2 linked regions of the Stegostoma tigrinum genome follow. The protein of the gene in region 1 purifies or fractionates together with the protein of each later gene. This does not show direct contact. Links are inferred from orthologs where the notes say so. Each region holds a gene or a part of one and is shown on either strand. Other genes may lie near its edges.

Region 1 (7,023 bases):
CCAGATGACCCTTTTGCTAGATTGGGATTGCCTATTCTAGAACCATGTACATGCAAAACCACCAACAAATCCAGGGAGGTTTGGGCCAGCTCTTGAGTTTTATAGTCAGGAATGGGATACAATAATCTAGAAAAATTAAGCTAGCGTTTAACTGCTCAACTTCTCTATTCATCTTCTGTTAAAATGAAGACGCACAGGGCAGCATAGTAGCTCAGTGGTCAGCTCTGCTTCCTCACAGCACCAGGGGCCTGGGTTCAATGCCACTTTCAGTCTGTGTGGAGTTTGCACATTCGCCCAGTGTCTGTGCAAGTTTCCTCTGCGTGCTCTGGTTTCCGCCCACAGTCCAAAGATGGTCAAACTACCTAACATGCACGGGGGAAATGCAGGGTTACAGGGATAGGGTAGGCAAATGGCTTTGGGTGGGATACTTTCTGAAGGGTCAGTGTGGACCTGTTGGGTCAAATGGCCCATTTCCTCACTGTAGGGATTCTAGTTTCATACGATGCACTTCTGTTGCAAAACTAAGTGTCTCCATCAGATCAGCTGAGGAGTTGCAGTAGAGGTTTAATTTGGATAAATAAATGTGAGGTGCTGGTGCTGGTAAGGCAAATCAGGGCAGGTCAGTTGTACACCTAATGGTAAAGCCCTTTTGAGAGTATTGCCAAACAGAGAGGCCTTGGGTTGAAGGCTCATAGCATAGAAGGTGGAGTTGCAGGTAAACCAGGTAGCGAAGGTAGAGTTTGGTACACTTGCCTTATCAGTCAGTGCAATGAATATCGGAGTTGGGAAGGTCATGTTGCGGCTGTACAGGATATTGGTGAGGCCACTGTTGGAATACTGGTCTCCGTGATAGAGGAAAGGGATCGTTCAGAAAAGATTTACAAGAATGTTGTTGGGTTCAGAGGGTTTGAGCTAGAGGAAGAGGCTGAATGGACTGGAGTTTTCATCCCCCAACCTGGACATTGGAACCTGAGGAATGACCTTATAGGAGATTTATAAAATCATGAGGGGCACAGATATAGTGAATCGCCAAGGTCTTCCCCCCCGCAAGGTATAGGAGTCCTAGATTGGAAGGCATAGGTTTATGGTGAGAGGGGAAAGATTTAAAAAGGGACCTATGGGGCAACTTTTTTTCCACACAGAAGGTGATGTGTGTATGGAATGAGCTGCCAGCAGTAGTAGTGGAGGCCGTCATAATTACAGCATTTCAAAGGCATCTGGTTGGGTGTATGAATAGGAAGGGTTTAGAGAGATATTGCCAAATGGGACTAGACCTATTTACGATATCTGGTTGGCATGGCTGGGTTGGACCGAACGGTCTGCTTCCGTGCTGTACAGCTCTATGACTAAGTGACTGTTGGCTTCATGAACTGGCTAAAGACTATCGACAACCGACTGCAATGCTTTACCTATTTAACAATGAACACAGCAGGCCAAGCAGCATCTCAGGAGCACAAAAGCTGACGTTTCGTGCCTAGACCCTTCAAGGTTCTAGGCACGAAACGTCAGCTTTTGCGCTCCTGAGATGCTGCTTGGCCTGCTGTGTTCATCCAGCTCCACACTTTGTTATCTTGGATTCTCCAGCATCTGCAGTTCCCATTATCTCTTATCATGCTTTACCTATTTTCACTTCCATATCATCATTGAGGAAAAGATTGCCAAGCTTGAGATCTCGATGAATAACGTTGTTATCGTGCAGATATTGGCTGCCCAGGATGACTTGCTTCAGGTAATACCGGGCCTCGGGCTCAGTGACAGCCTTCCGCCTCTTGTGCAATTCTAGTAAAGACTGAATGTGACAATTAACTTGTGATCGGTATTAAAAGAAAACCAGTTCACTTTATAAACAAAATTAAAGAAAAAAACAGTATTGAACTTTTGGCCGCAGCCGATCAGTAACACAAGGCAGTGCCAGCTGACAGAGGAGAGGAGAATCACCAGCTAGACTTAGGGTAGCAACTGTGGCTTTACCGAACCATTTGAGGAATTAAACAGAGTGAGGAGTGGAGATGGGAATAGCACGAAACAGGATCAGACCAACCAGGGGCTGCTCCTTCTGGCTCGCAAGGCCGAAGCTCCGCCTTCTTTAATACGAGGCACCCGCCAGCCAACCGGCTCCGAGCTGCCGCAATTTTAAATACAAACCCCATTTCAACTAAAAAAGACAGCAGCGGGCAGCCCTTCAACCTGGATGGGGGGGGGGGGGGGGAAGAGAACGGACAGGCTGAGCGCTGCCCAGGCCCAGGGCCCTGAGCTGCTGTACCCGGTCTGACAGTGTCCAGTTCCCCCACCTGATCGGTGCCACTTATGGGTGAGACCCTCCCCCAGCCCCAAATTGTTACAGTTGGTTCCAATGGGAGAACGCTCCGACTCGGCTCCATTCACCGGGATCCTTTGTCCCGCAGCTCTTCCCTTCCTCCGCTTACAACCGTCGATCCCGGGGGGAAGAGAGGGGGTGGGGGACGCGGCGGTCAGTATAAACCGGTGCCAGCAGCTCCCGTCAATTCTCCCCCCCACTCCTCAACCCGAGGCACTCACCCTCCGCCTGCATAGCTCCAGGACAACGTAGACGAAGTCATCGTCCTCGAAGAAGCCGTGGAAGCCCACCACGTTGGCGTGATTGAGGCTCTTGTGTATGGAGATCTCCATGGACATCTTCTCCCTCTGGTGCGGCTTCATCAGCAGCGTCTTGGGCACGATCTTCCCGGCGAACACCTCGTTGGTGTCCATGTCGGAGATCTCGTAACACTTGGCGAACCCCCCTTTGCCCAAGAAACGGCCCCGCACGTACCTCTTCATGGTCTTGGGGTTCACCAGGATGTCGGGGATCTCCTTGGCCACCGGAGCGACGACCGACGGGGCCGCAGACCCCGGCTTGGCGGACGGTTTACCGGCCACCGTGGTCATTATTTGACCGGTTCACAGTGCAGACAGGGGGAATGGGGAGAATGGAGTGCCAAATCGAAGTTGAGCAGGGTCTTCTCCGAGTCTGGTTAAAAAGTCGCTGCAAACCGTGTCCGTCCCAGGCCAGATGCTCGGGGGCTCTGATTCAAATCTGGAGCGTCGACAGTTAGCAAGCCGTGCGCCGCTCCTGATTGGCCAATTGTATTTAAATAGAACCCGAGGGCCCGGCTGAATGCCGGGAAAGAACGGTTTAAATGCACCGTGCCGGCTGCTTGGTGACTACGCTGAATGACAGCACCTTCCACCAATCACAGCCGACACCCCCAACCTGTCGGTTCGTTTCTGAGCAACGGAAGGAAAGGGCTGGGATTCGAGCTGCGACCCCCACCCCAATCCCTCCACGTTCTCAAAGCTACCCAAGCATCTCAGTCTGCCCCAGGCTTCTGAAGGCATTGATTGGGTGTAGGACTTCCAAAGTTACTGCTCAGTTGGGAACATCCTTGCCTGAGAGCCTTAAACAAAATAAAATTAGATTAAATGCCTTAAATCGGGTGCTTGTGCACTCCACCTTAGAGGCTCTGGAGCTATAATCCAGACTGACATTGACAGAGATGCTGTTTTACAGATGCGATTTTAAATAGAAACCCTGTCTACTCTCTCAAGCGGACATTCTGGGATTCACCTGGTTCTTTTCCTAACTATTGTGAGTTACATGCATCCTTCCACTTCCACACGATTAGCTCTGATGACCCTCAAAAATCTATTTACACCCCCTTCTTGCCTACATGTTCTCTTTTAGCAGCATCTTCAGAAAACAGGGTTACTTACTAATGCTGACGATGTCCAGCTCTAAGTTGCTAGCACTTTGTTGATTCCTGTATTTCCAATTTGTCAAATTCCATAACTGACATCCAGTAAAGTACAGGTAGAAATTTCCTCCTATTAAATATTGGGGACACAAAAACTCAAACGTAGAAATTAAAAGTTGATTGTATTAGTTTTAAACACATTAATAGGAAAAACTGATTAGCAAGTTTGAGACTCTAGGACTGGTGGCATAGAAAGAAAACTTGGAGGCAGACTTTCAGAAATTACATTAGGAAATACTTCTCACATTAAAGGTAGTAGCAAAACTCTCTTCTACATCTAGCAATCAATACTAAATTAATTTATAATTTCAAAACCGAGATACAGTTTGTCTAAGTGGCAGAGTAGCCTGGGTTTGGATTTGCCCACATGGGACTTTCAAACATTTTCACAATCTTTCCTCAATCTGTTTTATTTGCTCCCTGCCCCCAATTCCTCTTCCCGCTCATGTCTGAGCCTTGGAATTTTTGACCTCTGAAACCCTTATTCACGCCTTCATTACCTCTAGATTCAACAATTCCTGCATACTTTTGGTTGGCCTCCCACATTCTACCCTTGCAACAACTTAAATTCACCAAAATCTCTGCTGTTTGTGTCCTTAATTGCAACAAGTCTGTTTAGCTAATACCTTGTCTTTGCTGACCTAAACTATTTTCTGGTCCAGTAAAGCATTAAATTAAAAGAAATCTTATCTTTATTTACAGATCCTCAATTGCATTGTTCAGCCCATCTTTATAATCTCTGCCAATCCCGTAACTCTCCAACAGACCTGTATTCATCTAAGGTAGGCTGAGGAATGGCTTGATTTTAATTGTTCCATTCTTAACTGTCCTTTGTCATCTTATCAAAGGTATGATATCAATGTAAGTACGTTAAAAAATGGGATGTGGGTATTGCTGGTTAGGGCAACATTTATTGCCCATCCCCAAGAGACAGTTAAAAAATCAATCACATTGCTGTGAGCCTGGAGTCACATGGGCCATACTAAGTAAGGATGGCAGTTTCCTTTCCTAAAGCATATTAGCCCAAATCGGTTTTGCCAAAACAGTGACATAGTCATCAATTGACTCTCAATTCTGGATTTTTATTAATTTCAATTTGCACGATCTACCATGGCAAGATTCTAACCCAGTTCCTCAAAACATCATCTGTCTCTCTGGGTTAATAGTCTAGGGCTAATGCCATTAGGTTGTTACCACTCCGTTATGCTCAGTTTTGGTCATTTTATTTAAGCAGGGACACTATCGCTTTGGAGGCAGTTCAGAGAAGATTCACTTGGCTAATTTCTGGTCTAAAGGAACTTGTCATGAGGAGAGACTGTGTAAGTTGGTTTGAATGCATTATAGTTTTGAAGAATGAGACACATCTTTTTGAAACTTCTAACACTACAGGAACATTGCAAGGTAGAAGCTGAAATAATGTTTCCTAAGTGTGTCGTTTCAAAACAAGGGCTCACCTATTTAACGCAGAAGTAAGATAATATAATTTATTTCAATGCTGTTAACATTTGGAATCCTCTCCCCAACGAGTATTTTTCAAGGCTTAGTTAGATCGTTGGTTGACAAGGGATCAAAAATTATGGGAGAGGGGCAGCAGAGTGAAGATATGTCTATATTAGACAACCAATAATCTTCCTGAGAGACACAGCAGGCTTGAGGGGACTAACGGCCTACTCTACCCGTATTTCTTACATCCTGAAGGCAGGTGACAGTTTGGTCTGTACCAAGAATGGGGCATACTAAGATGGTGTTTTGATCCTTACTGAGGATACAGCATGTTAAGGTAATGCTTACTGCACAGAATGGGTAAGGCAGGTTAGGATCATGCAAGATCAACTTCAGTTTCCTTTGCTCATTAAAGATCTCTTAGGATACAGGTTAGGTTGTTTCTCTAACCTGTCTGGCTGCCACTCAGTCTGAGGCAAATTTTGCCAAAAAAAAACAAAAAACAAAAAAACCCAACAGATAGCCCACACAGAGCCACTCAGATCAATTTAACACACAGACTGGAACATCTTTAAGTCAGTACTGTTTGATTTATTGGCTCCGAGAAATTAGTTGGTACCAAAAGGGTCCTGAAAAACACTCTGGGTAGCCACACCACATAGATGTAGCAACTCACCACCACCTTTCCAAGTGCAATTTGGGATGGCAAAAAAAATCTGGTCAAGCCAGCAAAATGCTGCATTATGTGAAAGAACAAGAAAAACTGAATAGGAGAGAATAAAATAATGAGCTATTCATTGAATAATGATCAAAGGTGCAATATAAACAGAGCAGTATACTGTCAGAAGTGCCATTTTTCAGATAATGTAATTAACTGAAGCAAATATTTACACTTGCATGCCATTACTTGAAGAAAAACAAAGTGTCATGGTCATCACTAGTAAATATCAACTACACTTACAGCTTACATGTAGTTTTCAACACAGCAAGTTATTGCATTCAAAAGCAAAATATTTTATTTTACATTGTTTCAGAATTGTAGTTTGCCATATTATCGAACCCTACACTCCTTCAGCTATGGCTTCCTACACATTGTCTAAACTTATCACCTACCAACAGTGTGGACCCCAACTCCTGAAATCTCTCCCCAAACTTTTTTAATTTCCACAAAAAGTTGTTAAAAGTAGGTTTTGAGCCATCTAGTTCAATACTTTATGTCCTTGTTGTCAACTTAGATTCAGTTACTGAAGTGTTTTGAGATTTTACTGTAGTAAAAGGTAGTATAAAAGATCATTACTTAAGATTTGGCCTGCTCAATTCCCCTTATCCTCTGGGTGGTTCTCTTGGCTCACTGAGGGAGCATATGAAACACGGCAAGATGTAAGACTACTCCAACTGTGGCCTGGTCATGCTGCACAGTCATCACACTGGGAAGACTCCCTTGTCAACCAAGAATACAACTAAGCCTTGGTAAATACTCACAATGGAAAGGATTCCAAAACAGCCAGAATAGCACACTCAAGCAGCCTATCTTTTAAAAATTTCCACTGGCACCAGCAGCAGTAACTGAGGTTAAACAGAATAGCCGTTGGGAGACAAGGTCAAGAAAAAAAAAATATTCAAACTTCGTGCTTCTACTGCAGCGACTTTCTCAATGTAATACAAATATTTCTTTCATAGTTAGTTGAAAAATACGTAAATATTTGAGAATGAAAAAAGAAGCAGCAGGATAATTGGAAAAATGGAACTGCTTTTGTAGAGAATTGTCACTGACACAGTGAGCTGAATAGCCTACTTCTGTGTTGTA
Region 2 (7,460 bases), on another chromosome or scaffold:
TATATGTTTTCTTTGTATCATGATCAGATGCAAATAGCATGGCAATTTGTAAAAGCCCAATGAAAGTCTGCTTGAAAATTGGCTGAAATGATTTCTTATTGCAAAGCTGATTTTACTGCAGTGTACTATATGCCGCTATCTCCACAGCATCATGAAGCAAATCTTCTGACCGGTGGTTACGGAGCTGTCTTGTTCATTCAACCTGAAATTTGTCGTTATTAGATTGCCAGGATGAATATGGCTTAAAGGTTTGTTAGAGCAACACATTCTGTTTTTTTTTTAAACTGCTAAATTCCAGTTCTTTGAGGTTTGGAAACTCTCAAAATATTTTGTGTGTTTCATAGCTGAGATAATCAGTTATGGGGATTTCCTAGTCATCGAAGTCACACCTATCATAGACTTCATTCTCAGAAACTAATAAATTTGTGAAGGATGTAGATATATTTATCAAATTACTTATTGAGGCAGTGCATTTTTGGCTGAAGTTGAAATTTGGAAATTGTAAACTCAGCTTGTCTGGGATTGGGATTCCTTATTTATTTTTGCAAGATAAAATGTAATCTATTATGGAGGTAATTTGGTTTTGAAACTCTGACTCATTCAAAATACATGTATGGGTAACATTTAACAGAAAGTGAATCATGCAGCTGGGAAGTTTAACTGTTTTCCTAATGTACAATTTGACAAAATGTTGTCAATGGCTAAAATTGCAATAGCCTTGTATGTGTCTCATGTTGTACAGAATTTACAATTTTTTTTTGGTATTTATTCTCGGAATGTGGGCGCCACTGGTTAGGCCAGCACATATTGCTAATCTCTAATTGCCTTGAGGATATGGAGCTGAACTACCTTCTTGAACCACTGCACCCTATGCAGTGTCAGTGCACCCCACAGTGCTGTAATGGAGGGAGCATTGAAGACTTGATTTATAAGCTCTTCCAGATTGCTTTAGTATAACAGACTTACACTGAAGTTTACCATTGGCTGCATGTATTTTAGAAATTTGTGCAGATACATCAATATAGTAGAAGCTTAGAAACTTGGCATTTGTACTATATAGTTTCAAAGTTATAATCTAATTGATTGGAAACAAATCAGTACTTAAAGCGTCTAATAGTTCTACCAAATTGAAATCCCTTTTTGGTGTAATGAAAATGGGCTTGGTATTATCATCTTTTCAAGCAGTGTAAGTCATTGTGGATGTAAAATCTATGGATTTGGAATAGGAAGCTGATGTCTGGTACTTTTGTCACTTTGTGAAATTAATCAAAATGAATAATTGTCCGTATTTCCACTTCTGTTCTTAGCCACCTGCCCCCTTAACTAAGCCAGTCGTGATGGTCTTCTCACTGTGTGATTGCTAATTTTTTTTGTCTATGTGAAGTTTTGCATCTGAGAACTTGTTGAAGTACAGCCCAGGATAAGTGCTTGCAATCTTTGCAAGCGTTCTGTGTAATGAATTCAAGCAGTCTTAAGTCTTTTGAGTCTGCTCTGCCATTTGGCAAGAACATAGCTGAGCTGATTATCATCTCAATACTACTTTTCTTTCTGCAGCCAGTAACCCTTGACACCCTTACCAATCCAAAGTACTGCAAACGTTTTATTAACCAGCGCCTATGGGACCAAGAGTGTGCCGGTTGACCAAATATTTTTGATTACAAGGACCTCTTGATTATCTATGTAAAAATACAAACTAAGTACTGGAAACATAATGCAGGGGGTATACACATCACTGTTATATTTTATTTACAGCGTAAATCACTTAAATAATTCAATTTTGCCTTAAATAAAACTTATTAGCAAGGCACCTTCTCACTCTCACCCTCACCTGACTACTCGGACATCATATTATTTAAGGAGAGATTGATTTGAATTTGAATCAACTGTTGATATTTTGTGCGGCCATTCGATTGAGCAGTAGGTATGTTTACATAGTCATATAGCATGGAGACAGACTGTGTGGTCTAATTTGACTGCGCCAACCGAGCATCCTTAACAGATGTAGTCCTATTTGCCAGATCATCCCTATTCATGTACCCCCAGATGTCTTTTAAATGTCGTGATTGTACTACCTCCAGCACATCCTCTGGCAGCTCGTTCCATACACGCGATCCATACACCACCCACCAGCCCTTTCTAATTTTTTTCCCTCTCTTCTTAAACCTATGCCCTCTAGTTTTGGACCCCCCCCCCCCCACAAAGACCTTGACTTTTCACCCTGTTGATGCCCCTCATGATTTTATAAACCCCTAGAATGTCTCCACTCAGCCTCTGACATTGCAGGGAAAAAGGCCCCAGCCTGTTCAGCCTCGCTCTATAGCCCAAACCCTCCAGTCCCAGCATCATCCTTGTAAATCTTTTCTGCACCCTTTCAAGTTTAACAACATCTTACCTGTAGCAGGGAGCCCAGAACTGAATTTGGCATTCAAAAGGTGGCCTCACCAATATCCTGTACAGCCACAACACGACATCCCAACTACTACACTTAATAAATTCCTAAACAATATGAAGGATTATTTGAATCTAATGGATTTTAAAAAGTGAACCCAAAACTAATTCAATATATAACTCAGTCGATTTCCGTCAAGGAAAAGAGCAAGCCTGATGTATTTGAGGTGGAAGCAAAGCAAGAGATTATGTCGTAAAAGGGAGTGTACTGAATTGCAGATTAACAGAAGTGGAACCTTGGAGTCCAAGGTGTCAGGACAGGAAGATAAGTTGTTTAAGCAACAGTAAGGGAAACTTACTTTAATAGCTGAGGCACAAATGTAATGTCAAGGAAGTTAATCTGAAACTATATGTAATTCCTCTCATCTGCGGTACCAAATGCAGTTTTGGTAACTGTGTTGCAAGAGAAATGTGATTGTACTGCAGAGGGTACTGAAGAAATTTACAAAGTTGTTGCATAGATTGGTGAATTTTGTTTGAGGAAAGATCAGATCAACTGTGGTTGTTTTGAACGTAAGAGCTTAGGAGAAAATATAATTTATACCATCTATGCGATAAATGTTTTGTTTCTGTCCCTTCAGCTAAAATTCTAATGGTACGTAGCCCAAAATCTTGCTTGCTTTATGGATGTTTGGCCTTTGAATTTTCATATATTTACATGTTTATGTCAGGGTCCTTAAGGTTGAAAATCTCTCTAAGGATATTTGGAGTTTTATTGGGAAGTATGCAAATAATGTTTTCTAATTTCAATTACCATTTTGTGAAGCCAGTGTTGTTACACCAGTGGCTACTACCGTGATCTTAACTAATGATAAAAATTTCGAGCACCCATCTTGGGAGATATCCAAAGCTGGTAAAGATGCAGTTGTGTTGAACGATTTCTTGACAGCACCAATAGGTGACACGATTCATGCTTTTTTTGTAAATTTTGAGACTAGAAAAGCATACCTACCTATAATTAAGATAGTATTGTAATTTTTTTAAATTAATGAGAGGCAGGACATTTCTGGCATTGTAGGGACATTCCAACTTGCCGACTGAATTGGATTAGCTCCAACGAATGGGGATTGGAATTAATCAGACTTGGATATTGAAGCTGAGATTTTTTTTAAAAATAAAATTGAAAATTAATTGAACCAAGTATAAAATCTAATGTGGCATTTAGCATAGCAACTGATATAGTTTGGTGAGATTAATGTTTGATTTATCATGTCTATATTTCCACTTGTTAAGAGGAAAGTTAGCTTTCAGGGTAAGATAAGCTGATAGAACTTTCTAATGCCATGATGGCCTACTCCCTTGACTACTAAAGCAAAAAGCATAGAAAATTTGGGGCAGGTACACCCATTTTTCTTATTTCATCTATAATGAGAAAGAAATATCATGTAAAACTTTGTCATCATCTATTCAATCATTCTGATACAAGAGATTTAATTTGAATTAAAATCTATCCCACAGTGTCTTATGTTTGCTGTACTGTAATATTTGCAGGTTGCATGCTTAAAAATTGGTTTTCCCAGGTATTTAGTAGCAAAACTGGGGTGAAGTTCAAGACCACATTTTTTTCTGTAAAGTGTTTACAGGTTTTTCACGGCCCTCTTTCCCCCCCAAAAGAATCATATTACTGAATCAATTGTCTGTTCATTACCCACTTTAAAAAATGTTGGGGACCTCTGTAAGTAGAATTTGTTAGACAGTTGCCCAAAGTACTACATGCCAAATATCTGTAGGAAATTAAATTTTATTTGCCAGTTTTCACCAGCAGCCATAGTTTTATGAGTACATTGAGAGTTTCTGACATTTGAGCAATGATTTAAGAAATGTTAACCGTTTTGAAGTTATCCATGTTTGTGCATTCTTAGACCTCTGGGAACTGTACGGAAGAAGTACTGTTAATTGCCTTTTTAAAAAAGTGAAACAGATAAAGGATTACTCATAATGTTGTACCCTCCCTGTCGTAGTGAGTCAGCAAAGCCAACAAACCATTTTCCCTTGCAGCTTTGAATGGAAACTGTTAACTTGCAGCTATTCTGCAATAAAGCTGCCTTAACGTCAGACAAGTAATTTATTCACATCTCTGGCATGCAGTTGAAATTGCAAGGGCAGCCAGAAAGCAGCACGCTAGAAGAAGCTACCAGAATTCTGCTGCTCTGTCTGCATTCAGCATATATAAAGCTGAAATGGTGGCTATGCTTTGGATATCTGCTGACTGCTTTTTAGGTTATGGATTGGATTCGGTGAAACAATAATTGATCCCTAAAGCAGGAAACTAGCAGTTCTGGATTGTCAACTTGAATTGGCAGACTGACAGAAGCTTGACTTCAAGCACATGGGAAAATACCACAGACGGCGGCTTTTTTATTACAGTCACAGTATTGAAGATTGAAGCTCCTGTACTTGCGTCAGTTATCTGAAGGAAATTCAGTGACTGCTGCCTTGGATTTCTGTATTCAAGATTTTTCAGGATAATTCCAGTTTCTTATTTGTTGAAGTGAACTGGCCTACATGTTTCCAGCTCATTGAATTGCCTGTCGGAGTTTCTGCAGTGACTAGCTGCTGGAGAAAAGTGACTGCTCGGCACAGCACAATCGCCAATGGAGTAATAGATGTATTTTGTTTCTGGGTCACACTTGTATAGCCCACCTTGTTGTATGGGCTATCCTGTTTATTTTCTGTTCATGGTTTCTTTCTGTCCTTTTCCTCTTTCTCTCTGTTGTGCTCTCACTCTCATCTGGCCTGTGTTTAATTACACTGCAGTGGAGTTAATTAAATGAATTTTCATTTGAAATTGTTTTGTACTTTCTCCTGGATACTGCTTCAGCCTGACGAAAATCTGTTGATTGGGAAAAGAAGTCTTGAAGCCTTCTGATATGGAAAATGCTCAGTTTCTCTCTCTGTAAATCATTTGAAAATCTAAACTACATGATTTGCCTGCTTTTCTATTTAAGGAATGGTGTCATGTCACCCATAACAACAGCTACGCTGCATAGAGGCTACTCTGTCAAATAAGGAACCAGCTCAGCAGTATCAGTGTGTGTGTTGGCAATAGCGCTGAGTTTACTCCGGAACTACTTATGTAAACCATATGGATAAAACTGGCATAAATCTCTAGCATAGTCACTTGTTCTCAGTGACAATAGGATTGTTATTTTCCATCAAAACGTGCAAGTGTTGTTTGTGAATCAAAGATTACGAAAGTAGTGTGGAAACAGGGGATCGGATGAGCCGAGTGTGTATTGTTGTACTGGAGGAGGTGGACGATGATTCTCCTGTTATTACTTCTAAAAAGCTTCAGGAAAAGTACGAGGATGCATCAAAGTCACTTCCACCTGAAGATGGAAGGGTGAGCATATCTCAGCTTGTCTAATCATACCTGCAAAAGTATTGCATCAGCTTCACACTGATAAGATGTGCAAATCCAGGTTTTATCTGCTTTCTTAATATAAATTTGTAATATGAAAAAAAAATATGCAGAGTCCAAACATTTGCATCTTAAAGTTTGGTTTTTGGCATTTGTTTGACATAAGCTGAGAAAGTTGCATGTATTGACATTTTGAATTGAATTGTGTATCAACAGTTTCTAGGAATATAGACCACACTTAGAGAAAATTCATACTGCTTATTCCATTTCCCACTGATATTTGAGTGTTTGGGACCCTACATACAGTTATGTGATATATGTGGTCCATATTTGTCAATTAGTGATGTCACAGTCATATAAATATTTTTATATTTGTATAATCTTAAGTTTCTTTCAATGTTGCAGCCGCCACTGGTTCAAGCTATTTTTAATGGAGATCCTGATGAAGTCCGCAGTCTCATTTTCAAAAAGGAGGATGTTAATGTCCAGGTACGTGTAATTTAATTGTTTGCCTGCGACCATCCCCTCAAACCACCGCCATCACCACCACGTCCACCAACTCCCCCACCCAACAGGTGTCCTTGTGCATCACTAAACTGTTCAAAGCCTGTCGGTTTTCAGTTGCTACAGAAGTGACTTGAAAAGCTAAAAGAGATCATCAGTACTCTTGTCTCAGTTCTACCTAGTGTTACTTGATGTATCTATTGATGAACAAAATTAATGAAATTTTCAGGATGAATACCTGTTATAATACGTCAGAAATTCTAATTCAGGACATATGGCTCTTATGACATTATGCATCCGTATCTGGAATTTCTTTTCCTTTTTAGTTTACATATTTCCATACATTCTAATGGTTTAGTAGGCTAGCTTGGTTTGCTAACCAGTGTAGCTGATTGTTCATGTTGATTAAACCATTTAGTGTATCAAAACCGGTTTCCTCAATCTTGCTTTCACTTCCCTTTTGTATATATAAGCAGATGAGGAATTTGGTTACTGAGTCTCATCAGGATGCTCTCAAGGACTTCCTGTGGCTTGCTAAAGGAATACCTGTGCCTCCTATTGAAAAATATGCCAAATATCCTCGATGAAATTACTTGTTTAAAAAGACTTTAAGTTGGATATTTGCTATTTGTTGCAGCGATACTTAGCAAAATTCCAAACCGGTCACCTGGAGACCAGTTTTTAAAAGCAGGAGTCAAATGTTTAAGTTCCATCCTTGATCTTTGATAAATTTGAACGTTTGCATATTTTTTCTCTTGTTCCCAATTTTTACATAGAAGTGGTTGGGAGGAGATTTAAATATGATTCTAGAAACACCAACAGTAGTTATGGCAGTTACCATTTTTGTGACCTCTATTAAGCTGCAAAAAGTGTTTTATAATGTTTGGGAGTACTCTGTTTGTATGTCTTCAACTTCATATATACAGACCAATGGACGTTCAGAACAGAACAGATTTTTATACATCCATCTGCTGGTATCTATTATAAAATATAATATTTCCTATTTAAATTTTCTGTGCTTTACATACAACAAGTTTTGTGGTGTCTAATGTTTTGAACATAGACTTTTTGATTCTTACTAAATTGAAACAGACTTAGATCCAAATTCTCTACAGCAGACATTTATTTATTCTCTGAGGAAGAATAC

Evidence for each region. The genes of interacting proteins can lie anywhere in the genome.
Region 2: the proteins of plk1 (region 1) and ankrd28b purify together in Homo sapiens (affinity purification with mass spectrometry; 6 studies listed by BioGRID and IntAct, with this or other methods). This does not show direct contact. The link is inferred for Stegostoma tigrinum from reciprocal best matches to the Homo sapiens genes PLK1 and ANKRD28.

The regions. Positions count from the first base shown.
Region 1 is NC_081376.1:22,425,837-22,432,859, reverse strand, and holds the start of plk1 (serine/threonine-protein kinase PLK1), read right to left. Parts: upstream 3,078-7,023; 5' UTR 2,908-3,077; coding exon 2,539-2,907; intron 1,790-2,538; coding exon 1,621-1,789; intron 1-1,620. UniProt on the Homo sapiens protein: Serine/threonine-protein kinase that performs several important functions throughout M phase of the cell cycle, including the regulation of centrosome maturation and spindle assembly, the removal of cohesins from chromosome arms, the inactivation of anaphase-promoting complex/cyclosome (APC/C) inhibitors, and the regulation of mitotic exit and cytokinesis.
Region 2 is NC_081355.1:102,767,264-102,774,723, reverse strand, and holds the start of ankrd28b (serine/threonine-protein phosphatase 6 regulatory ankyrin repeat subunit A), read left to right. Parts: upstream 1-4,452; 5' UTR 4,453-5,668; coding exon 5,669-5,791; intron 5,792-6,214; coding exon 6,215-6,298; intron 6,299-7,460. UniProt on the Homo sapiens protein: Regulatory subunit of protein phosphatase 6 (PP6) that may be involved in the recognition of phosphoprotein substrates. Involved in the PP6-mediated dephosphorylation of NFKBIE opposing its degradation in response to TNF-alpha.